2 linked regions of the Drosophila melanogaster genome follow. Changing the gene in region 1 together with any one later gene gives a genetic interaction. Each region holds a gene or a part of one and is shown in the gene's direction. Other genes may lie near its edges.

Region 1 (11,161 bases):
ATGAGCAAAAAGAACACCAAGTAATTTACTCTGGGTAACAGCATGCCGTTTCAACAGTGACCGAAAATTTCCTAAATCGCAAAAGGGTAAAACAAATTAGTTGACTTCTAAAAGCGAAGAAGGGAAATCTGAGTTCAAAGCAAGATTTGCCACGCCCACGCTAATGCTCACATACCGCCAAAAACTGCAACCCGCACTCTTGAAAAACGTGTTAATTATACCCGTTACTCGTTGAGTAAAAATCTTTACTAGATTCGTTGAAAAGTGTGCAACAGGCAGAAGAAAGCGTTTTCGACTATATAAAGTATATATATTCTTGATCTGGATCAATAGCCGAGTCGATCTAGCCACATCCGTTTTTCTGTCTGTCCGTATGAACGTCGAGAGCTCAGGAACTATAAAAGCTAGAAGGTTGAGATTCAGCATACAGATTCTAGAGGCAAAGAAGCGGCGCATGTTTTTTTGGCTCATGTTGTCACTCTTTTTTTTCATTTTATTTCCCAATATCTATCGATATCCCAGAAAAACGAATAAATTTCGCGTTTGCATGCCCACTAGTTGCGTAACGGGTCAGGGATCTCGACGATGGCATTCTCTATTCTTTCATATTTATATAAGCCCTATAAATTTCTATAAATTTGCCACAAAAAATTTTAAAGTTCTGCCCACATTGTTTTTCCAGCTTATCCAAACTGCCGTCAAGAACTCTACAGGATGGGTTCAACAAACAATTCATTACTTTCACATTGTCTCAGAGCATATTCCCGACTTACGTGACATGGTTCTGATTGCCGCCTAGGCGAAATTCTCCGGAGATACAGTTGCGGTAACAATAATAGCACCATAAGCACATTTCGTGTTTGTCCCAGCGTTTCTCTATTTTCTGACACTTTTTCATCATTTTACTCACTAAACTTAAATACTACAATGATTTTCAATCGAAATAAAAAAAAGTAACAGATCTAATGGATATTTTAAAAATAATTGGTAAAACAAAAAAAAAAACCTTCAAATTTAGGCGGTAACAAAAATAGCACTGTTTCTCGTAGTTTGCTAAAACTAACCAAAGAAATAAAAAAATAATTCAACAAATGGATTATATCTTAAGAACTATGTTTAAAGAATCTTAATATTTGGTTGCGTGACCTTTTGTTGGCAATGACAGCCGCGCATCGTCCTGGCATGGAGTCCACCAAGTCCTGGCACCGTTATTAAGGAATTTTGCTCCATGGATCCTTGACCAGACCCCAAAGATCATCGTTATTATTGGGTTTGGCTTCAGAAACCTTTTTTTTCACGTCCGCCCAAAGGTTTTCGATTGGATTCAAGTCGGGTGACTGAGCAGGCCAGTTCATTCCTCGGATCGATTTCTGCTCTAACCACTTTCGAGCTTTCTTGCTCGTGTGTTTTGAGTTGTTATCCTGTTGAAATGTCCAAACCAACGGCATTTCATCCCTTCCATATGGCAGCATCACATTTTCCAGGATATCTGTGTAAATGTGCTGATCCATGATGCTTTGAATCTAATGGATCGGACCTACTCCATAGTATGAAAAGCACGCCCATACCATTATGTTTGATCCCCCGTACTTTACCGCCTTAAAGGTGAAGCGAGGATTATATTCAGTTTGTGGTGGACGCCGAACATAAGACCAAGAGCCTTTTCCACCGAACAACACAATTTTGGTCTCATCTGACCACAAAATGTTGTGCCACTTCTCCACAACCCAGTCCTTGGGAATCTTGGCATATTCGGTTCGCTTTGCCACATGCTTAACAGTCAAAAGCGGGACTTTTCTTGGGCTGCACGCATTAAGGTTGTTTTGTCCTAAGCGTTTGCGAACAGTTTCCACGCTTTCAGCTATCTGAAGCTCCTTCTTGAGTTCCGTCGCCGGCTTAAAAGGCTCCTTCTTGCCTTGCCGAACCAAGCGCTTGATCTCCACGTTGGACATTGAGGGCTTTCTTCGCCGTGTTTCGTTCTTTTCGACAAACAGCAGTGCTTTGCGGATCATTTTACTTGAACAACCGACAATGCGACCAATTTCAGCGTATTTTTTACCTTCAGAGATCAAGTTTTTAATCAAATTTCTTTTTTCGACGGTACAATGCTTTCCGCGACCCATAACTAGAGAATTTTTGGACTTCGTTTGGAAAAAAATCAATAAAAACCTTTAATACAACTCATTTTTTCAAAATTTGTCGAAAAAAAACCCAAAGCAATCACTCCTATTAATTTTATTCAGTAAATACGTGGTCAGTGCTATTTTTGTTACCGCCTCATTTCGCGCACTTTAGCAGCAAGTGCCCAAAAACAAAAAGAACCGTTACATTGAGAGACTAAAAATTTCTTGTTCAGAGAGCCAACATATGGTACTTATTATTCATGCAAACTTACTTTAAAAAATATAAACATTTAATAATTTTTTTTAGGAAATGAACTTTCCACCTGCAGTAGTGCTATTATTTTAACCGCAGCTGTATGTGAATGCAAATATGTACATACATACATATGAAAGAATATTGTGAGATAGAGCGGGAAGGAGCTATTATCATTTATTGTAACTAAACAGCAACTAATTGGACAAGAGAGTTTTTAATAAAGCGTCTATTTCTTGAAATGACAGTAGGTCAAGCTGACAATGAACACAGAGAAAGTGTTGCACAAACAGACTGTATATAGATACAGTCCGTTCAGAACCATTTACATGCATACTTAAATTCCTTACAACAAGATTACACAATTATCATATTAATTTTTTAATGATTCGTATGAATATTTTACAATTTGATAATATTTGTAAGAATTTGTAAAGTTCTATCATAATGGCACTAAAAGGCCTTCGTACCAGGGATATTTTAGTACTTGCACACAGTTTGAGTCTGTGAGGTCCCATAAAGTTCATCACAGCCACATTTTTGCGAAGTGTTGCCTATTCCTTTGGCGGGGACGCCTGTGTCAATACTTTTGTTACAATTTTTTTTAATATGCTTAAAATATTATTGTTTTCCGTTAACAAAATCTTGCCCATTTCTCGAAAACAAATCATGACAATTACATTTAACCAATGTTTCTTTAATAGACAAATAATTGGGTATTATTGTACTTATTGTTTTAGAATTTTTGGCTACCAGGAAAAATAAATTTTTACCACCTTGCTAGAAGCTGTTTTTGTTTAACATAAAAATTTTAAAAAAGGCATTTAAGGTGTTTGATTGGTTGGTAGTAATACCAGAATACCTCATACTTTGAGCAGTAATGGTTCTAAAAGGAAATAGCTATTGTTATGCTTAAATAGTTTATGGCCTCTGACATTAACCGAACGCTACAAACCGTTTTGGTATAGTATCCCAATGAAATTTGAAAAGAAAATCGAATATTTTATACACATATTTTAATAAATTGTTTGAAGAACATTTGTTTTAAACTTTAACTTAAGTTACCTTAATAATTTGAAATTCGGATTTCTCGTGCGACTATTACCATGGCAGCTATGTATATGATAAGTAGACCAATTTTCATTTAGGTCCAGCCAAAAGCAGATATAGCAATTTCGATCCAGTTCCAGCCGAAATTTAATATACTGTATAAACCAAAAATAACTTTTTGATCAAAAACCCCGAAGGTTTCGACTATTTCTCTCAGCTACATATCTACATATATGATTCCATTCCGACTTATATTCTAGCTGCAAATTTAAAATATTTTGGGAATGTTTTATAAAGACATCTTTACGCCTGAAAGACTTGTATGTGTAGAAACGCAATAGTTTTTTAGACTTGTGGACGAAGCAGAATCACATTATTTTTCCTTTTACATTCTTTAGAACGAATGTAGTGCACATCTTCATGAGAAGGTATTCGAGGAAAGGACATGCAGATATTACAAGACGATTAATTACGTTATAATGTGCTAGATTTAAAAAAAAAATGAGGCTGTCGGATTAGCAGGCGATTCTGATCAGAAAAATGTACTGGTTCTTACATTAATATTAGAACAACAGTTTGTGCACAAGCAACCGTAACTAAAACACAATTAACTGAAGATTTTTGTCTACTTTTTTGGTAAGACTTGTTTGTATATTCATATAAGGTATCAACAAAATTTTTAAAGGGTTCATCATCACTTAATAACTTTAACAATTAAATCTAGGAATTTCCATTGTTACTTATTTTCTCTTTCTCGCTCTTTCGCATGCAAGTGCCAGCTATGTACACAGAAATCTCAAACACAAGTTAGTTAGCTTAACTACCAAAATTAGACTGACTGAAAATTACTGAAAAGGGCTAGAAGGTAAAGAAAAACCTGACCTGACCTGAAGCAAGGTCTAAAAACAGTAGCAGCAGATAATATCAGGAATCAAGCATTATCAATTAGGCATGCCCACGCCCTGCTGGAACCCTAACGTATCATGCTGCTTCTTCACCTCGTCCTGCATTTCTAGGGCCAGCTTCTTGTACTTCTCCGCTTCCTTTTCGTTCTTCTCGATCCCATCGCCCCGGGCGTACATCTGGCTAAGATTGGCACACGCATACATATTGCGAAGCTCGCAAGCCTTGTGGGCAAACTGGAAAGCCTTCTTCATGTCTTTTAGAACAATATAGTCGGAGTCCTTTAAAGGCGGTTGTCCGGCGGGGGGTGATGATGTACCACTTCCGGAGGATGCAGTGACAGCACTCTGATCCGCCTTCTTTTGCACGCCCGAGATGTGCATCCCGGAGAGATAAAAGCAGGCAGTGGCGTTGTTCAAGTCGCAGCTTTTGGTCAGAAACTCCAGGCCCTGCGGGTGTTGTAAAATTATAATGTCAAATCACAAAATCAAATAAAATTTAAACACTTTTCTGCTGGGGTCATATTGAACAGTTTTAAATTGGATCAAACTAAACTATATTCATACATATGTCTATACATCCATTGGAACATAATCAGAAAATTACAATTAAACGTTCAATTATCTGGACACGATACGAATGACTTATGATTTCAAGGATCAAATGAGAAACAGGTGGGGCAAATGAGAGAATGTACTGCAGCACATAGTTGCACTTTAAGCAAATTGAACAGTTCCAAGAGCTAGCCTTTTATTGAAGGCTTGGGACCGTGATCGCCATACGACACCTTTACCTTGGGCACATTCCAGTCGATCTCCCTAGGCATGGACTTTGAAACGAGCAGCAGGCCGGAGTGAAGACAGGCGTCCGAGTCGTTTAAGTTACAGCCCTTCTCGTAGTACTCGTAGGCCACTTGTGGATTCCCCTTGCTACCGCTCTTGCCTTTTCCAAGGAAACTGTAGTTGCCGTATTTGTAGCAGGACTTTGCGTAACCATAGTCGTCGCAAGTCGACTTGTACACCTTGGAGGCCTTTTCAAAGTCTTTCTTGATGCCCTCCAAGTAGTCGCCCAGCAAGTGGCACGCTGCAATGCAGAACGCCAGTTAGCTATCTCATAAATGCAATGTCTTCAAGCCCCGCGAATTGTCCTCCCGCACATCGGAGGTTATAGACCTCAATTGTTTTTGCCGCCGTCGCTATCGCTGCCGCCGCCGCACTCACCTTCCGGCTTCTTCTCGGAATAGCACCCGAATCGATATTCCACGCCCAGCTTTTCTACGTACTCCTTCACGTCTGACTCCTTCTTCAAGTCATAGGCCATGGTCAGCAATTTTTAATAGATAACAACCAAAAATTATTATGTTATGCTTCGTCCGGACCCCTGCGTGCTTCAGTGTTAGTAACGTGCAAAATATCGATTCATCGACACCATACTGCATACATTCGATGGTTTTATTGATATCGATGTTAGGCTATGCATCGATATTTTGCTCATAATTAAAACATGGTTTAATTTAAAATCGCTTAATTGTATTTTCTATCTTTCATGTATGACTGCGGCGACATTGAGTTCTCGGCCTTGCTTGAGGCCGCAGTGTGGCCAGATACGTATGTGACTTCTCGCTTATTCAACATTTATCGCCGAGTGCCATTACAATAGTGCTGGTAGACAGCCACACTGGCGGTCTCGTAAAAACCTAATCTTTTCGATTACCTCTTGTTTTTTTTTTGTTTTTCCGTGTCCTCTGAAAACTGATGCGTATCAAGGTAGGACACCTAGCTATTGGGAAACCACAATGAGCTCGAGCAGAACGAGGAACGGCCCCACGCTTAATTTCAAGGCGGTGCTGCTGGGCGAAGGTACGTTTAGCAGCTAAACAAACCTAATTAGTTCCTGAAAGCTTTAACCCCTTAATTGTAGGTTGTGTGGGCAAGACGTCGCTGGTGCTGCGCTACATGGAAGACCGGTTCAATGCCCAGCACCTAAGCACCCTGCAGGCTTCCTTTGTCAGCCGCAAGATGTCCCTGGAGGATGGGAGAAGGGCGCAGTTGAATATTTGGGACACGGCTGGTCAGGAGCGGTTCCACGCCCTGGGACCCATCTACTATCGCGGCTCCGATGGCGCCCTGCTCGTCTATGACATAACGGACCGAGACTCGTTCCAGAAGGTCAAATCCTGGGTGCGGGAGCTCCGGCAAATGCGCGGCACGGAGATTGCCTTAATAATCGTCGGCAACAAGACTGATTTGGAGGAACAGCGAGCAGTAACGCACGATGAGGCCCTTCAATATGCGCGCACGGTTGGCGCTCAATATGTAGAAACTTCGGCCAAGGAGAACGAGGGGGTGGCTGAGCTCTTCGAGCTCCTGACCCAGCTGATGCTGGAGCAGTTGAGCCAACGGCAACCGGATGCGAGTCCACTTCGCCTCCAGAATCCGGATACGGATAACCTTAACAACTCCGATGACTCGGAGGCCCCGGATCCCGGAGATCCTGCGGGCCAGCGGTCCTGTTGCGGCATTTAGCCGTTCCCATTGTGATAGTAATCATAACTATAAAATAGTAGACCTTTAACCGATGTTGATCTTGTGTATATATTATACATAGATAGATATAAATATAAATACGCGTATTTTTATTATTCCCTATTATGGATCTTTAAAATCCTCACACATTTTTGTTTATTAATAAATATAAATATGTATTTCATTCGATTTTCTTGCCCTTCCTGAGCGCCCAGTAATAAACAATCTTGTACTTGCACTTATCTTGTTTTGAGGCTTTTTGGGGGCCGGGCTGAATCATCGTTATCAGTTGAGGTGCTAATGGCTCTGCAAGGCGATAGGTGATTAATTTTAAACCGCACCAAGATTACAGTTTACGGCACTTTAAATATATGGTGCAATAGAAGACAATACATAAAGTTTTTATATATTTTTTCATAATTTTATGTAACGATCATATCATCGCAACAGCTTCTCCTATTAATGAAATTAATTGAAATCCAATTTCAAAACTGTTTTCGGCTACAATTAGTTACATATATAAGTATTCTAGTTTTATTTTGTTATAACAAAAAGTGAACGAACATATATGTATGTATTTACCCATTTAAGAATATATCCAATCTATAATATTCGGGCTATGTATGTACATATATGATAGTCTTCCATTTTATAACCGTTACTCGTGGTGTATATACTAGATATACTATATACTAGATTCGTTGAAAAGTATGTAACAGAACAGAACAACAGGCTGAAAGAAGCGTTTTCGACTATATGAGGTATATACATATATTCTTAATCAGAATCAATAGCTGAGGCGATCTAGACATGTCCGTCTGTCCTAGAGATATACATAGATGCCTCGCGAGATTGTTGGCCATATGCTGCCAAGCCCACTCTAACGCCCACAAGCCTCCCAAAACTGCTACGCCCACACTTTTGAAAAATGTTTTGATTTTTCTTGGTTTTATTGTTTGTTTTACCAATTTCTGTCGGTATACCAAAAACACTTTTGCCACGCCCCTCCTTACACCTACAAAACACCCAAAACGGTCACGCCCATATTTTAAACAATCAAACAATTTCTTCTAATTTTATTCCCCAATATCTATATACATATATATATGCCAGAGAAATGATGAAATTCGCGTCCCTACACCAGAGTCGAATGTCCAGCAGATTTCGCAGATTTGCGACCTCAGATTCTGAGCTCCATTTAGCTTTCAGTTAGTAGTCCTGTCTCTTCTAACTCGGTTCCTGAAGCGCTGCCTGGGCCATGTGAGAAGTGCGAGAGCCAGAAGTTTGATTCCAGGAGGTGGAGCTACAGGGCACGATATCTCTAATCTAGCCCAATGTTTTTCCAGCCAGGGTGGAGTGTGAGCTATGTATGTTTGGTAGTTGGGTTTCAAGAACATATCGGACCGGCAATCAATAATGGACTGCCTTATCGGGTTCGCACCTTTCGCCAGGGAACTACGGCTATTGGTACAGTGAAGGCGGCCAACAAGTTGCACTCAGCTATTTATATAAGGTGTTTAAATCGGTATTTATCAAGCGTACTTATGCCGTGGGGAATGTTAATTTTGTGTGTCTCTATCAATTGTATATAATTCGTAATTTGGTTTCATAAATACGTAAGCAATCCATCGCCATCTTTTTTATGTATTTAGGGAGGGTTCACTGTAGCTTCGAAGTACCTGGGTTGTTATCTGGTCGAGTTGGGCACATGTCGATGGCTGTTCGATCGGTACGGTTGGCCTGTGGGCCGCGCGGCGCTCTCCTGCTGCTCCTCCTTGTCTTACTCGGTGTCTTAGTGGTTCTTCACAAAGTCACTCAGTCACCGCTCCTTAATCAAAACAAAATCCTGCAAGATCACTTAAGGGGCCAGCACGAGCGGTATATCCAATCCACCCGTACCATTCTCCTCTGGACAGAATTTTTTGGTGATTCGCGATGGAAGCTTTCCTGGGACACTTTGGGACCGCAGGAGCTGCGGGATGAGCTCCACTGTCCTGTTTATCAGTGCGAGATTAGCAACCAAAACGCATTCCTGCCCGCAGTGGAACTCTATGATGCCATTGTATTCCATGCGGCGGAGATGTTTCCGCTCCTGCGACCAGTGCCCTCCCAGAGAAGCCCCCACCAGGTCTACGTATTCGCATTGATGGAACCGCCTGGGGAGACTAAGCCGGCTGGACGACGAACAAGGATTTTATAACCTCACCATGACTTATCGCATTGACTCGGATGTATTTTGGCCCTACGGGCAGTTGCTGGACATCACAGCGGACGCCGTGGTGGCGCCCAGTGTGAAACCACCTTGGAGGAAGCCTCCTGTGGCCTTTAACGATTCTCTGGTTTGGGACCTCTGGTCGGGGAAGACGAAAACGGCCGCCTGGTTCGTCTCTCATTGTGAAACGTTGTCGAAAAGGGAGGTCTTGGCCAATAGGCTTCAAGAATTTTTTGAAGTGGACATTTACGGAAACTGCGGAACACTCAGGTGAGGACCTTTTAGCTGAACAAAATTATAATGCAAAATGCACATGCAGCTTTCTTAAGCTCTCAATAAAAGTAAATGATTAAAAAACTTAATTAGTTTTAAATAGTACATACCAAAAGCATATGCATATTTTTAGACTATGATATCTGCACTCAAGTTCGTGAAAGTTTATGCTTCATGACCCCGCAGCATGACAATGCCACACTGCACAAAAGTATGTTAAAGTCGCTCGCTAAGCCTGCAGAGCCATTAAATGTAGTGGCTGAGCAGAAACTGATGCTGTTATTCCCTGTGGTTTTATGTGCATATGTATATTAAAAAAAATGTCTAAGAAATTTCAGATAATTCATTTTGGTAGTTTTGCCGCTTGATGGAAAGTTTTTATTTGTCGCAAATTCTTTACTCGTATCTCATTAGCTTGCAACTAAAGAACGCAAGTTTAATGAAATGCCTTAAGTTGGGAGCAACCGGTAGGCATGCAAACTGCTTGTTTTTTAAACGCAGATGCTTACTTTCTAAATATTAATTATATTTCAGCTGCACCCGGGGGGATCCGCACTGCGCCGAGATGTTGGACACTGACTACTTTTTCTACCTGGCTTTTGAGAACTCGCTGTGCGATGATTACGTGACGGAGAAACTTTTCGACGCATTAGAACGGACCGTAATACCCGTGGTTTTTGGCGGAGCAGACTACTCCCGCATCCTGCCTCCGCACTCGTACGTCGATGCTAATCGCTTCATGTCCGTGGAAGGTCTGGCCCAGTATATGAAGCTTGTGGTTGCAGATCCGGATTTGTATGTAAGCTACTTCTGGTGGCGCAGCCACTACCGCTTGACCTACAGCTCCCCGTTTTGCGACCTTTGCGCCAGGCTCCATGATCCCTCATTTGGCCACAAGACACAGTTCTACCACGATATCCAATCCTGGTGGTTCAACAGTTGCCGCTTGCAAAGCCGAATACGTTTGTGAACTGTGCGCGCATTAAAAAGAGATAGATAACCAGAAACACAGGAAAATCGAAAATGAGAGAGACGCACTTTGAGTTTCCCGCATTTGCCTTAAGTGGGAGAAGGTCAGCTTACGCATGTAAATAGGTATTTTGTTGGGAATTATTTTAAAACAAACAAAAAAAAAAAAATACTTGGACCGTTTGTATTTTAACAAGGTGTATAACTTATTCGTATTAACAAAAAAAAACGTTTTAGTTCCAAGTAAAAGTATACTTCAATGTGAAATTCGAAAGGGATGTTGAACAAAGACTTTACATCTCGTGCTTGTCAACTTTTACTGCAAATCATTTTGAATCACTTAAATTTCATTTCAAGAAATTTTCCCTACGTTTTAGTGGAGAACGTGGAGATAAATATGTATAAAATTGTTTTATTGAAGTCGTCTTTTAAATTTAATCAAATCAAATTTAAAACTATTGCAGATTGTACTGAATGTGATTAGCTGCGATAACATTCAGTCCATAATGCTTAGCTAGAAACCACAAAGATTTGTTTAAAACTATTCTTAAATTGCAGTCTGAATTCGGCCAGTGTTGTGGCATACGGAAAACAGATAAACTAGCTGACTCGCTTGTTTTTCTTAAAAAATTGAAGGAGATATTTCGATTTTTATTCTATATCGCAATCAGCTTAATTTTTGTTGCTCTGTCAATCGATTGTGTATTTAAATACATAAGTATTATGCAGCTTTGTTGAACATAAGAAAGCCGAAGCATATAGGTTTAATGTGGGACAAAACTAGGCAGTATGAATATAATCTGATGATTATAATGATAATGAACCTCTCCATTCTCTGGAGAATATATGAATA
Region 2 (13,173 bases), on another chromosome or scaffold:
TGATCCCGCCGCAATGGCCAGGATGTGTGTGGCTGAAGCGTTGAGTAACCTTGTGTTTGTAAAGATCAGCGAACTGGCTGATGTCAAGTGCTCTGGCAACTGGATGTGGGCTGCAAAGCTGCCCGGCGAGGGTGCCCGGATGTTCGACGCCTGCAAGGAGCTCTGTCAGATTCTTGAGGAACTTCACATCGCCATCGATGGCGGAAAGGACTCCCTGTCCATGGCGGCTAAGGTGGGCGGTGAGACAATAAAGTCCCCGGGTACTCTTGTCATCTCCACCTATGCTCCCTGTCCGGATGTGCGGCTAAAGGTAACGCCTGATCTTAAAGGACCCGGCGCGGGGTCGAAGACTTCCCTGCTCTGGATAAATCTGGAGAACAGCGCTCGCCTAGGTGGATCGGCTCTGGCTCAGGCATACGCGCAGCAGGGCAAAGATACGCCAAACTTGACAAGGAGTGATGTGCTGGGCAAAGCATTTGCTGTGACTCAATCGTTGTTGGGAGATGGACTTATTCAAGCAGGACACGATGTCAGCGACGGAGGATTGCTTGTTTGCGTATTGGAGATGGCCATCGGAGGACTGAGTGGCCTTAGAGTGGATCTATCGGAGCCCTTGGCCAAGCTCAAGAACTTCGATAAGTCTGTCGAGAAACTTAATCGTCCCGAACTAGCTGTTCTCTTCGCCGAGGAGTGTGGATGGGTGGTGGAAGTCCTGGACACAGACCTGGAACGAGTTCGATCTACCTACGAAAAGGCAGGAGTACCAAACTACTATTTGGGCGTGACCGAGGGATTCGGACTGGATTCCAGAGTGGTACTCAAGAACGGCAAGTCAGAGCTGCTGGACCAGCCACTCCGTGTGCTCTACAAGAAATGGGAGAGAACCAGTTACGAGCTGGAAAAGCTTCAGGCCAACCCTGAGTGCGCCGAGGCAGAGTACAATAGCCTTGAGTATCGCCAAGCACCTCAGTATAGGGGACCTCAGAATGTGCAGGCCGAGCTTACTCTCAAGCGATCCTCCGCCCCAGTTCGCGTGGCCGTGCTCCGTGAGGAGGGTGTCAATAGTGAGCGCGAGATGATGGCCTGCCTGCTGAGGGCTAACTTCGAGGTGCACGATGTGACCATGTCGGATCTTCTTCAAGGTAAACTCAATGGTAAATTCTAATAAAGGGGGAAGTACTAAAGCAAATAATTTAATATTTCAGGCACCGCAAGCGTGTCCCAATACCGCGGACTAATTTTCCCGGGCGGCTTCAGCTATGCGGACACTTTGGGATCCGCCAAGGGCTGGGCAGCAAACATCCTCCACAATCCCCGCTTGTTGCCTCAGTTTGAGGCTTTCAAGCGTCGTCAAGATGTGTTCTCCTTGGGCATTTGCAATGGTTGCCAGCTGATGACACTTATAGGATTTGTTGGCAGTGCAAAGAGCGAGGTGGGCGCAGATCCCGACGTGGCCCTGCTCCATAACAAATCGCAGCGGTTCGAGTGTCGTTGGGCCACCGTGAAGATTCCAAGCAATCGCTCCATCATGCTCGGAAGTATGAAGGATCTGGTTCTTGGCTGTTGGGTGGCTCACGGCGAAGGTCGCTTTGCATTCCGCGACGAGAAGCTCATTAGCCACTTGCAGTCGGAACAGCTGGTGACATTGCAATATGTTGATGATGTAGGCAAACCGACGGAACTGTATCCACTTAACCCGAACGGTAGTCCTCAGGGAATTGCTGGCCTTTGCTCGTCGGATGGACGTCACTTGGCCCTCATGCCACATCCCGAGCGATGCTCCTCCATGTACCAGTGGCCCTATGTGCCATCTTCATTCGAAGTTTCCCCCACACAATCGGAAAGTCCTTGGCAGATTATGTTTAACAACGCGTACAATTGGTGTGTCAAGTCGAATCAATAGATATTCTAGATGAATTGAAAGCAGTTAAATAGGTTCTTGGCATTTATGACCTGATATATCTAAATACTATATACACGAATTTGTTTACTATTTTTATAAAATAAACTTAAACACTCAAACAACTTTAAAACTCAAATAAGCGTACTTATGAGTAATGTCGTCGCAACGAATAGAAATGAAAGCTAATGTGAAATTTGTAACAAGCATTTAAGGTAGTTGGCCTTGGCTGTTGATGACGCCATATACTTGGAGTTCCAGTCGTGCTCGTTGATCTGCATCACTTTGTAGCCCATCATCTCTAGATGTCGCATCTTCAAAGATTCAGGACCCCGCAATGCAGTCAGATCGTTTTCACAAAAAGAGTCGAGCTTGAGCAGTAGTATTGCCACTCTGAAATTGGAGTCATTAATGAAGTACCTGAATAAGGTAACTTCCATTTGTGTGCCTACTTGGTTATGCGATCCAACATGGTTGCCTCCACGGGAGGTGCTGGGATGGGATTTTTATCCCGATCGAAATGTATCACAAAGTCTATTTGGTAGCCGTAGGGTGTAGTGTGGTTGCAGCGGAAATGCTTGTCATTTTGAAGAAGCTGATGCAGCAGCTGCTTCACCTCTGTTGTGGACTCACTGGGTATTAAGGATTCTAAAAAGATAATATGATAAAGAACGCCTAATACAGAATTGTAGTTATATGTTACTTTTGCTGATCTGCGCCTCGATGTAGTTTTGTTGAAACCAGGGCACATTCGCCTCGGGAAAGTCCAGGCATACTGTGCGATTCAGTTGCATAACCAGGTTAAGGACCCTCTCCGGATACGTTGCTTTTGAGTAGCATACTTGTATCTCATCCTCGATTCGCTGAATGAATTTCACGCAGAATACTTGATTGATTAGCTGCTCTGGTATTGATTTGTAAAAGCACAGTGCTAGACAAGCCTGGACAACCGATAAACCGCTCATCTGGTCAAAATCTCTGATGGAAAGATTACATTTTAGATCTGCCTCAAGAAATGTTTATGCCCACCTTAGCAGTACTTCGGAGGCGTGGTTTAGAGCCTCCACGGACGCTGGCATGTAGCCCAAATTATACGAGCAGGTCAACACTTTCTCCACTGTGTCGCCGGAAACGTGATCATGCTGTTCGGAAATGTAGGCGAACATGGACTCCAGGAGCTCGGGAACAAAGAAATTCGAAGCGTTGAAGTTGTAGGCCATGTCCCGAACCACCCGAGAATTGAGATCGTTGCAGTGCAGATTTTTGTACTGCGCCAGGGCCTGGTTGTAAACCACCGTATTCTTTAGCTCTGTAAAGGGATAAAATTGTTTAAATTTGTTTATATTTCAAATGAACCAAAGTTATCAACTTACTCTTGCGATGACTGAGTGTTCTGACAATCATGCTCAATTCGCTGGCATTTAGAGGGTCCTTTTCGGCATCTCTCAAGTGCCTCTCCGCACAACCGATGAGAATGCTGTCCATTGTGGACAGTTGCATGCCAGCTAATGCCGGAAGATGCTGGCGAAACCTTAGTTCGCTGGCTATTTGCATGCCGCGACTGAGGAGAAAGCAATCCTGAATGCCAAGCTGGGGCGCCATTGCGAGCATTTTGCTTAACAAAAAGTTGGGAAATTTCTTCCAGGCCAACGGAGTCTGCCCGTAAGCTAGCACAAAGGATGCAAGTCGTGCGAACTTCGCTGGCAGCCTTCCCGCTATGTCATGCTCAATAGCATTCATGCACATGCGACTTAGCTTTCGTTCCAGTTCTAAGTGACGGTAGGTTCCTCCCAGATTGTTATTAAAGTTCATATAGCGTTGACAGTGTCTCAGGAACCGTAGGTGCAAATGCTTTTCCGGACAGGACTCCAGCTCTTTTACAACTCCTGACCAGTATGTGTTGCAGAATTCAATGTCGGAGACTTTTAGTGCACGCAGAACGCTGAATAAATGTCCGCTCGCATTGGGTTGCTGCCAGGCCTCTTCGGAGTAGAGCAGTTCCTTAAACTGATGCAGATACTGGTCTCTCTGCAGTGGCGTTGCAAAGGGAACTGCACAAAACAGGGCGTCAGCAGTGCCTTCTTCCTGTAGTAACTTTTCAAGGGCTTTCTTGAGCGGCTCTATCAGTGCGGCGGGTTCTTGATGATGCAAAAATGTGCGACAAATGCTCTTTAGATCTGCAGACTCCATCTGGTGTATGCAAGGTCGCAAGACCAGCATGACCTCCCGAATCAATTGGGTGTGGGTCTGCGACCACACTGGAATATTCAGCATGTGGATCACCTTCAGAAGAGCCTTAGGGGTTTCGCTGCTGAGGACGCCGCTTTGCATCATTTCAGTCAAGCGCAACTTGAAGCGCGTAAACAGCTCCTCATCAATGAGAAAGTGTAGCTGAAAGAGGCACGTGGACAGAAGGCGAACCTGCTCTGCGCTGCGACACCAATTGATGTGATGTTCCAGGTGCGGAATAAAGTTCCTACACACAAGCGGAGTGAAGAAGTCGCGTTCCAAGTTGATGCCCACCGAGAGGCGAGACAAGGAGGTCAAGGGAATGACTTCGTCATCAACTTGTGACTCGATTAATTGAAGAGATCTCGTCAGCACGGCCTCCACGACTGCCTCGGAGTTTGGTATATGCATTTTGCGCAGGTACAGGTAGCATCTACTGAGATCATCGATCTCCAGTTGGTGTACATAAGGGGCCAACTTTGGGAGCACGTTAAGCAGCACGCGATCCGTGATGGCATCTTTACTTGCCTGCTCCGCGTCGTGATAGATGTTCCACAGCAGTGAGATTCCCATCACCACATGGGAGCTCTGCAGGCCGTCACAGCTCTCCAACACATCTAAAATCTGGTTACCCGTCTTGGCCTCCTCCAGTCGGGTTAGAAGAGCATCCTGTTCCCGTGGCACGCCAAACTTGTCTTGGAGATCTCCGTTCACCAGCTGCGAGTGCTTCCTCAGTTTTTGGCCCAATGCCGGCAGCAAGGCAGCTGTTTGGATGGGCGGCTTTGCGCCAATGTTAACGTGCCGTCGCAGGAGCTGAAGCTGACGCACTCGCAGAAGGTATTGTAGGTACTTCCATTGTGTCCGCGGCAGGTGGTTCAGATACATGCCACTTTATCTCACGCTTATTCAGAAATCGTTGAATAATAACAAAATTACGCCGTATAAACATGTGAGTGAATTTTTGGCGATCAGCTGGTGTCGGTGTTGCCATGAAATCCTAATTTCCATTATACTGAAACCAATAATGGAATCAATGTGTAAAAAAAAACTTAAAATAATTTCTGAACTGTGATTAGCGGTATACAAGTTAGATAAGTAATTACTTAATTCGTAAGTAATTTGTTTATTTCGTCAAAAGTTTCATAGTGGCAACTCTAGTTTTCAACAGGTTGTTGACGAGTTGACATTTCTGTTTGTAAGCAACAGCTGATAAGCAGCTGACCCTAAATAATTTAATAGGCTAGAGCGTTATCGTTGTTAAACAACTAAACAATGGCATACACTGATCCTGCGCAACGAAACCAGGTGACCGTGCTCCAGGTCGGCTATTCTCGCCAAGAAGAAGGAGACGAGTCCGCCATGCGGGCTAACTGCACATGCACACTGGTCCGCTGCCGGGATGGCACCAACATAATCGTGGACACACTGACGGCCTGGGATGGAGATCACCTGCGTTCGTTGTTGGGCCAGCAGGGACTAGGCGTCGATGACATCCACGTGGTGGTCTGCTCTCACGGACACTCTGACCACATCGGTTGCAACTATCTGTTTCAGAAGGCACGAATGCATTTGGTCGGCGCATGTGCCTCACATCACGACCTCTACATGGACCACCTTGGTAGTGGTAATCCAGACGAGCAACTGGCCCTAGATTCGAATGCCGAGGTGGTAGTGAGGCGGTCGCCAGGACACACCCTCAGCTGCGTTTCAGTTCTTGTGGAAAATTCCCAGCTGGGTGGACGGGTCGGTATCACCGGAGATCTCTTCGAGCGTCGCGAGGACATCGACGATGAGAACATTTGGATGGACGCTGGAAGCGAAAACGAGAAGGTGCAGCGCGAGGAGCGCAGTAAAATGGCACAACTGTGCGAGTTTATAATCCCAGGACATGGTCCGATGTTTTCTGTCACACAATCAATGCGCTGTAAACTTAAAGAAGACGCCACTTCTAACACTTAATTTATTAAGCATTAAATACATATGTTAGAGATTTTTTTAAAAGCGGAATTGTTCTAGCTTTCCTTGATTACCAGTTAAATGTCTGAAATAAGTTGATTAATTCCAATACATAAAAATCAAATTTTCCGCCACTACATAATGTCCCTTTGGTACTTTTGTCGGAGGAATGGGAAATTATTCCAGATGATTTTATATTGCGTGAGTTGGCAGCACTGCTGCATGAGTTTTGGTGAATTGCATTTAGCTAACAATTGGAAAAGAAAACACAGCTGCAACCAGCAACACAATAGCCAAACACCACTCGTGTCCATCCGAAAATGGATCCCTCCGCGAGCCTGGCCGACAAGTTGGCCTCCAAGACTGCCAGCAGCAACTCTCTGGACAGCAGCTCCAAGTCCAGTTCGCTGGGCTCCAAGCACGGTGGCGGAGAAAACGGCATTCTGCGGGACACGCCCTTCGGCTATCTGGAGGGCGAAGAGGACCAGGACCAGAAGAACGACGTGACCTACGTGTGTCCGTACCGCGGCCCCGTCTTCGGCGCTCTTACCATAACCAACTACCGTCTGTACTTCCGGTCGCTTCCCCTGCGGGATCAGGAGCCGCCCGTCGTCGTCGACGTGCCTCTGGGCGTGATCGCGCGTGTGGAGAAGATTGGAGGTGCCACGTCTCGCGGTGAGAACTCGTACGGCATCGAGATTTTCTGCAAGGACATGCGAAACCTGCGATTCGCCCACAAGCAGCAGAATCATTCGCGGAGGACGGTGTTTGAGAAACTGCAGGCCAACGCCTTTCCGCTCTCGTACAGTGGGCGCCTCTTTGCATTCGCCCACGCCGCGGCCAACTCTGTGAACGGTAACGGAGGCTGGGACGGCTGGGCGGTATATGAACCGCTGGCGGAGCTGCGCCGCTTGGGCGTTCCCAACGATATGTGGCGGGCGACCAAGCTAAACGAGTCCTACGCAATTTGCGACAGCTATCCGGCCGTGTGGGCTGTGCCCAAAGCGGCCTCCGATGATTTCCTGAGGCGCGTGGCACAGTTCCGATCGCGCTGCCGCCTGCCGGTTTTGTCCTGGATGAACCCACGGACTCAAGCGACCATTACAAGGTGTTCCCAGCCGCTGGTGGGTGTAAGTGGCAAGCGAAATTCCGACGATGAAGCATACCTAAGCTTTATCATGGAGGCGAACGCCCAGTCAGACAAGTTGACCATCATGGATGCGCGACCAAGCGCCAATGCGATTGCTAACAAGGCCAAGGGCGGCGGCTACGAGTCAGAGGACGCGTACAAGAACGTGGAAATCAACTTCCTCGACATACACAACATCCACGTGATGCGGGAGAGCCTACGCAAAGTGAAGGAGGCTTGCTTCCCCACCACCGACGACTCAAAGTGGCAGACGGCTATTGACAACACACTGTGGCTAAAGCACATTAGGTGCATCCTGGCCGGCGCCGTTAGGATTGTTGACAAGGTGGAGACCATGAGCACCTCCGTCGTAGTTCACTGCTCCGACGGCTGGGATCGCACAGCCCAGCTGACTGCTCTTTCCATGTTGCTGCTCGATCCGCACTATCGCACAGTGCGCGGTTTCGAGGTTCTCATTGAGAAGGAGTGGCTCTCCTTTGGCCACAAGTTCCAACAACGCATTGGTCACGGCGACAACAAGCACTCGGATGCAGACAGATCTCCGGTGTTCCTGCAATTTATCGATAGCGTCTGGCAGGTTAGCCAGCAGTTCAACAACGCATTTGAGTTCAACGAGCACTTCCTGATAACCATCGTGGATCATCTGTACTCGTGCCGCTTCGGCACCTTCCTCTGCAACACGGAGGCCGAGCGTGTGGCCGAAGGTTAGACTGATTGCTGTTTGCATGGGCTTGGAAGTAATTTTCACATTTATTGTAGATCTCAAGCACAAGACAACATCCCTGTGGACGCACATCAACTCGTCGCTGGACCAGTATTTGAATCCACTCTTTCCCTCGTTCACGCACGGCGCCGAGCTAGTGCTGCGTCCGATTGCCAGCGTGAGATCGGTCCGCTTGTGGAAGGGCCTATACTGTCGCTGGAATCCTGGTCTGTGCGCTCCTCAGCATGGCTGCCAGCGAACCCGCGAACTGCTATCCAAGCAGGACCAGCTCTTTAAGCTCGTCAACGAGCTGCGGCTCAAGTCGAACAACCGCAGCAACAGCATGCAGACAACTACGCGACTGGCCTCGCCTATGCACTAATAGTATTGCTTTTTTATTCCCCCTACTTGTACGCATATGTAGTGCACGTATTGTGAACTACGTTCTAATTCCAAATAAAAGTTTTTCTTAAATGGAAAACTAGTCGATTCAACATTGTATCATTGAACCACATTATCGAATCTAATTAAAGTGTTAAATGTCTGAGAATGTTTTAATTATTTCATGAATAACATCATATAGTTCAAATCGTATAGCGTTTTCGCAGCTCAGTGGAGCTACTTTTATATGTGCCTTAAACTAGTTTGGATGTCAAAAAGATACCTAAACAGGTGACCAACTGTTGCACGCTCCTTGTGATTCATTCATAAACACCGCTTCATAGAGGCGCCTGCGCGTTGGACTACGCACGTTAAATCCCGAATCCCACTTTTGACACCACAGGACACAAAACATTTCGGCTTTGCGCCAAAATTAAATCACAGCTGCCTCAGTACGACATCGCACGTTCATTGGGACAGACGTGTTCCGATTTCCGGTAGGAAAAGGGCAGGTGTTTGTAAAATATCAGGAAATGCGTTCGGAACTCTTAGAGTTCCGCAATAGATATTAGTTATGCCTACTAGGATATGTGTGCTGTTTGGGCTTCTGTGCCTCGCAAGCTTATGCTGCGGTAGTAACAAGCCAGGAGAGGTGCTCCTGGTTATCGCCTGTCCCCCGCATCCTCAGCAGGCCAGAAGTGATTGTTTAGCCTTATCGCACAACGTGCTGGAGCAGCAACGGGCACTGGAACTGGCGGGGATCTTCCCCGAGGACTTTGTCCTGAAGGTCCATGTGATGCATGAGCTCTTTAACTCCTGGACCATGCTGGACGCACTGCCTCATCTAAGAGCCCAGGCACGTGTGCTGGGTGCGCGCACGGAATGGATTATATGGTGTCAACACAACACGCGTGTGTCTTCGTTGCGCGGCCTGCTCGAGCAACTGCGTCGCCAGAACCCAAGGGAGGTGAGTTTGTCACTGGAGGCCACAACTGTGTCCTATATCCTTGTGCCTCCTCCAGCTAGCTTTCTATGGGCACGCCCTTTACGATGCGGAGGCAACCATCATCCACCACTTCTCGAACTACAAGGATCCCCAGCGGTTTCCATATCCCATGCTCAGTGCCGGAGTCGTTTTCACTGGTGCTCTGTTGCGAAGGTAAGTCCTTTTTAAATGGCATATGAAAGTAAGTTATTACAAATGCATTGAGAAAGAAGGGATAAGTTGATTTAAGTATTTGAAATGTGTCTCGACAATTGGTAACTCGAACATTGTTTTACATTCTTGAATGAATCACTTGTTACCAGGTTGGCGGATCTGGTTGCTCCTAGTGGCCAAAACATCACCGTTCACAGCGATTTCTCCATTGATGCCTCTCACGAGCTGGCTCGCTTTATTTTCGACAATGTATCGCCCGACCCGCATATTAGCACCCCGATTTCCGGAGGAATCCTGCTGAAAAGTGCCAGCTACATATGTTCCACACCCACGTCCGTGCCAAACAGGAAACTGCCTTGTCTGCTGCATGCGCAGCCGGAGGAGCCACTGACTTTGGGGCAGCGGAGAAATGGCTGTGTAAGTTTATTTATGCCTGGCATGCCTTGTTGCAGCAAAATCATATATCATGCTAAGGGGCTTTTGATTAAGATGAGGTATTTGCAAAAATGTCAAAATTTCGTTATTTTGCATGAATGTTTTTAAGTTTACCTGTTTGTACTATTCAGTACTATTTTTTGAGACACCTGTGTTTGAGATATGCTTATCTAAAAACGGACAGCAAACCTTTAAATCAAAGTTCATTGAGTGCTTAAAATTTAAAACCCACATACATATAGATAGCAGATTCAAGATTCAGCCCGAGCAATTAGCATTTGAAACCTCCATAACCATAAATTGTCTATCGACCCCGAACTGAAACCCTCCGTTTCCGCAACTGCCGTATTTTGGCCACCCCAAAACCGGACGAGCAGGAGCACACAACAGGATCGCATATATACTTCGCCATCAAAACCTGTGCGAAATTCCACAAGGAACGCATACCAATCATCGAGCGCACCTGGGCAGCCGACGCCCGGAACAGGAGATACTACAGCGATGTGGCAGGTGAGCACCCCGATGACAATGAGCGGGCAATTAAACCGAATGGGTGGGGGATCAGGAGCAGCGGGCGGTGCACCAACAAAAACACAGTGACAGGCTGACTAAACACATCCACACAACCATATCATCCATATATGGCTGGGCAAACAGTGAATTTCATCCAGCGTGATTGGCCATTCACCACTCGAAATTCCCAGCCCAATTCCCCAATCCCCTGCAGCGCCCGGTGGCGAGGAGTCCACTTATTGAATATTCATTGATTTGACTTTCCGTCTTTCCGACTTTCCTGCTCCTTCTGCCCCAACGAAAACCTCAACAGACGTCGGCATTCCGGCAATCGGCACTGGGATACCCAATGTGCAGACTGGACACTGTGCCAAGACAATGGCCATTCTGCAATTATCCCTCAAGGACATCGGCAAGCAATTGGACATCCGCTGGCTTATGCTCGTCGATGATGACACGCTGCTGAGGTGAGACTCAATTTACAGATTGATTGATAGGTATGAATGGGGATACTTTGGATTAGCCACTTCCTCGGAGGTTCAATAGCCAACTCCATGAATTGATGGCCTTATTATTACAGACCGCTGCTGATCCGAGATTTATTTTTTTTAATTTATTTAAGTAAAGCCAGCTTTGCACTGTGTATTGCGATTGCTACCCTATAAAGTAGATTGTATATACATTGTCGATCCGTTTTGAACTTGAAACTTAAGCTCTCATGATAATTTATGTTGGTGGGTTCCCTCATATATATTTTACGGCCTGAAAGTCGAAATCTTCATTATTCATAAACTCCACCGAAAGGGTATTCCAACTTCGGCTTGTCGAAGACTCTCCGCTCTCTCGTTTCCAATTATATTTTCCGACTCAATCGCATGACGGCGCATTCAATTAAAAATGATTATATTGATATACCCGGTTCATCGGGTAGCCTTCATTTGATTCACACCCATTTGCCCACCAGTGTGCCACGCGTGAGCGCCCTCCTCTGCCGCCACAATGCCACGGAGCTGGTGTACCTGGGCCAGCGCTATGGCTACCGGCTACACGCTCCCGACGGCTTCAACTACCACACTGGAGGAGCCGGCATCGTGCTCAGCCTGCCGCTGGTGCGGCTCATCGTGCAGCGCTGCAGTTGTCCCAGTGCCAGTGCCCCCGACGACATGATCCTGGGCTACTGCCTCCAAGCGCTGGGCGTGCCGGCGATACACGTTGCCGGAATGCATCAGGCTAGGCCGCAGGACTATGCCGGCGAACTGCTGCAACTGCATGCGCCGCTGACCTTCCACAAGTTCTGGAACACGGATCCGGAGCACACCTACCGCCGCTGGCTCGGTGGCAGCATGGTCAACCGAAGTGCCCCGCTGGCAGCACACAAGGAGCAGCCCGCTGCCGGACCACTCCACATGACGATGGGGCGACATTCCTTGGCCGCAGGCGTTGGATTGCTGCAGCAAACGGGACTGGGCAAGCACCTGGATCTCTGAGCCGCTCTGAGGTGAGTGGGGTGAGTGCTGATGGGCCAATATCTGCCGGAGTCAGTTGAACAGAAGTTGGCGGGCAAACCAGAAAAGCAATCTGCTGGCAGTCATCAAGCGGCTGCCAAGCACACAAATTCTCATTTTCTATAGACCGAAATTAAAATTGGGACTGGTTTAGTCGCAACTCTGTGCATTCGTCTGTTTTGCGGCTTTCGTGTCAGTTTAATTAGTAGAAATGCTCAAATGTGGCTGCGATTTTCCTTGGCGTTATTTGGGCTTGGAAAATATTCATTTTCCAGCATTTCGGGGACATTTTCCGCTGACACAGATTCGAGACGTTCTAGGGCAGCTTAGAAAACGCAGCTCAAAAGTGAATCTGGCCAGTGACATTACTGCCACAAAGAGGTTAATGCAGGACTAGAAAAGCGATCCTTAAATTGGATTAAAGAGCTAAGCAATTTAAATCACATCTTTGTTATATCTTTGGGTTGAAAGAACTACCTTGCTTTGCTACCTTTCTTTCACTTTTAATATGCCACTTTTCCGTGAAAACCTGCCACTAGTATAGTGGACAGATCAATTTCCCAGCAACGCAATGCATATAATTTGCATTCGATTCCGTTCGACGACACTTTAATCACATCGCAGCCCAAAGTACCTGCTTAAATCAACATTTTTTCGCACCTCGGCCGCACTTTGACCTCATTAAATGCAAATTTTTGAGGCTTCAAGGGACGAATTGCTGAATACTTCACTTTCGAGGGCATCAACAGTTTACGCTTGAGTGCACTTTTCGAATGGCTGGCATGGCACTTGGGTGGTGGCCACGTTGTACCGCCATTCGGCCATCCGCCCAGCGCGTATCCTTCGGATAAACAAAGGGGTCAATCTGTACGGAGCGGAAACTCTAGTCGAGTACTTTAAGTGCCATGTCTGCTTACTTATCTGGCCCTCTTTAAAGCGCCCAATGCATCTATTATTCAGGACTAATCAATAGTTTTCACAGGTCACCGAAGCCACGAAACAATGTCAGGTGTTTTCCAAATAGGCGAAAACAATGAGTCAATTGGTTAGTTTATGTAGTTTGTTGACAGTCAAAATTGTCGGTATTTAATTGGCGTTGAATTAATAAGCGACTTCGTGAAAGTTTTTGTCACTTATAGGAATTGTTTATTTGGCTTTGAGCATTGGCAGTGGAACTTAGATATACAAATGAAAATCATATGACTCCAAATAAAGCAAACAATGAATGTTTTTCCACCTTTT

The links.
Region 2: of Rab21 (region 1) and mtm, changing one suppresses a phenotype caused by changing the other (phenotypic suppression), as found in Drosophila melanogaster (one study listed by BioGRID).

The regions. Positions count from the first base shown.
Region 1 is NC_004354.4:23,008,070-23,019,230, reverse strand, and holds Rab21 (Rab21), read left to right. Parts: upstream 1-5,821; 5' UTR 5,822-5,936; intron 5,937-5,966; exon of another isoform or gene 5,967-6,095; 5' UTR 6,096-6,124; coding exon 6,125-6,188; exon of another isoform or gene 6,189-6,249; coding exon 6,250-6,854; 3' UTR 6,855-7,091; downstream 7,092-11,161. Other genes in the region: Coa7 (cytochrome c oxidase assembly factor 7), read right to left, coding at 4,368-4,778, 5,123-5,412, 5,550-5,649.
Region 2 is NT_033779.5:6,030,044-6,043,216, reverse strand, and holds mtm (myotubularin), read left to right. Parts: upstream 1-6,201; 5' UTR 6,202-6,405; coding exon 6,406-7,939; intron 7,940-7,994; coding exon 7,995-8,320; 3' UTR 8,321-8,486; downstream 8,487-13,173. Other genes in the region: Pfas (phosphoribosylformylglycinamidine synthase), read left to right, coding at 1-1,142, 1,206-1,903; CG31643 (uncharacterized protein), read right to left, coding at 2,086-2,293, 2,353-2,548, 2,604-2,878, 2,930-3,209, 3,274-5,014; CG9117 (uncharacterized protein), read left to right, coding at 5,402-6,088; CG9109 (uncharacterized protein), read left to right, coding at 8,894-9,286, 9,342-9,478, 9,628-9,895, 10,291-10,423, 10,740-10,893, 11,358-11,913.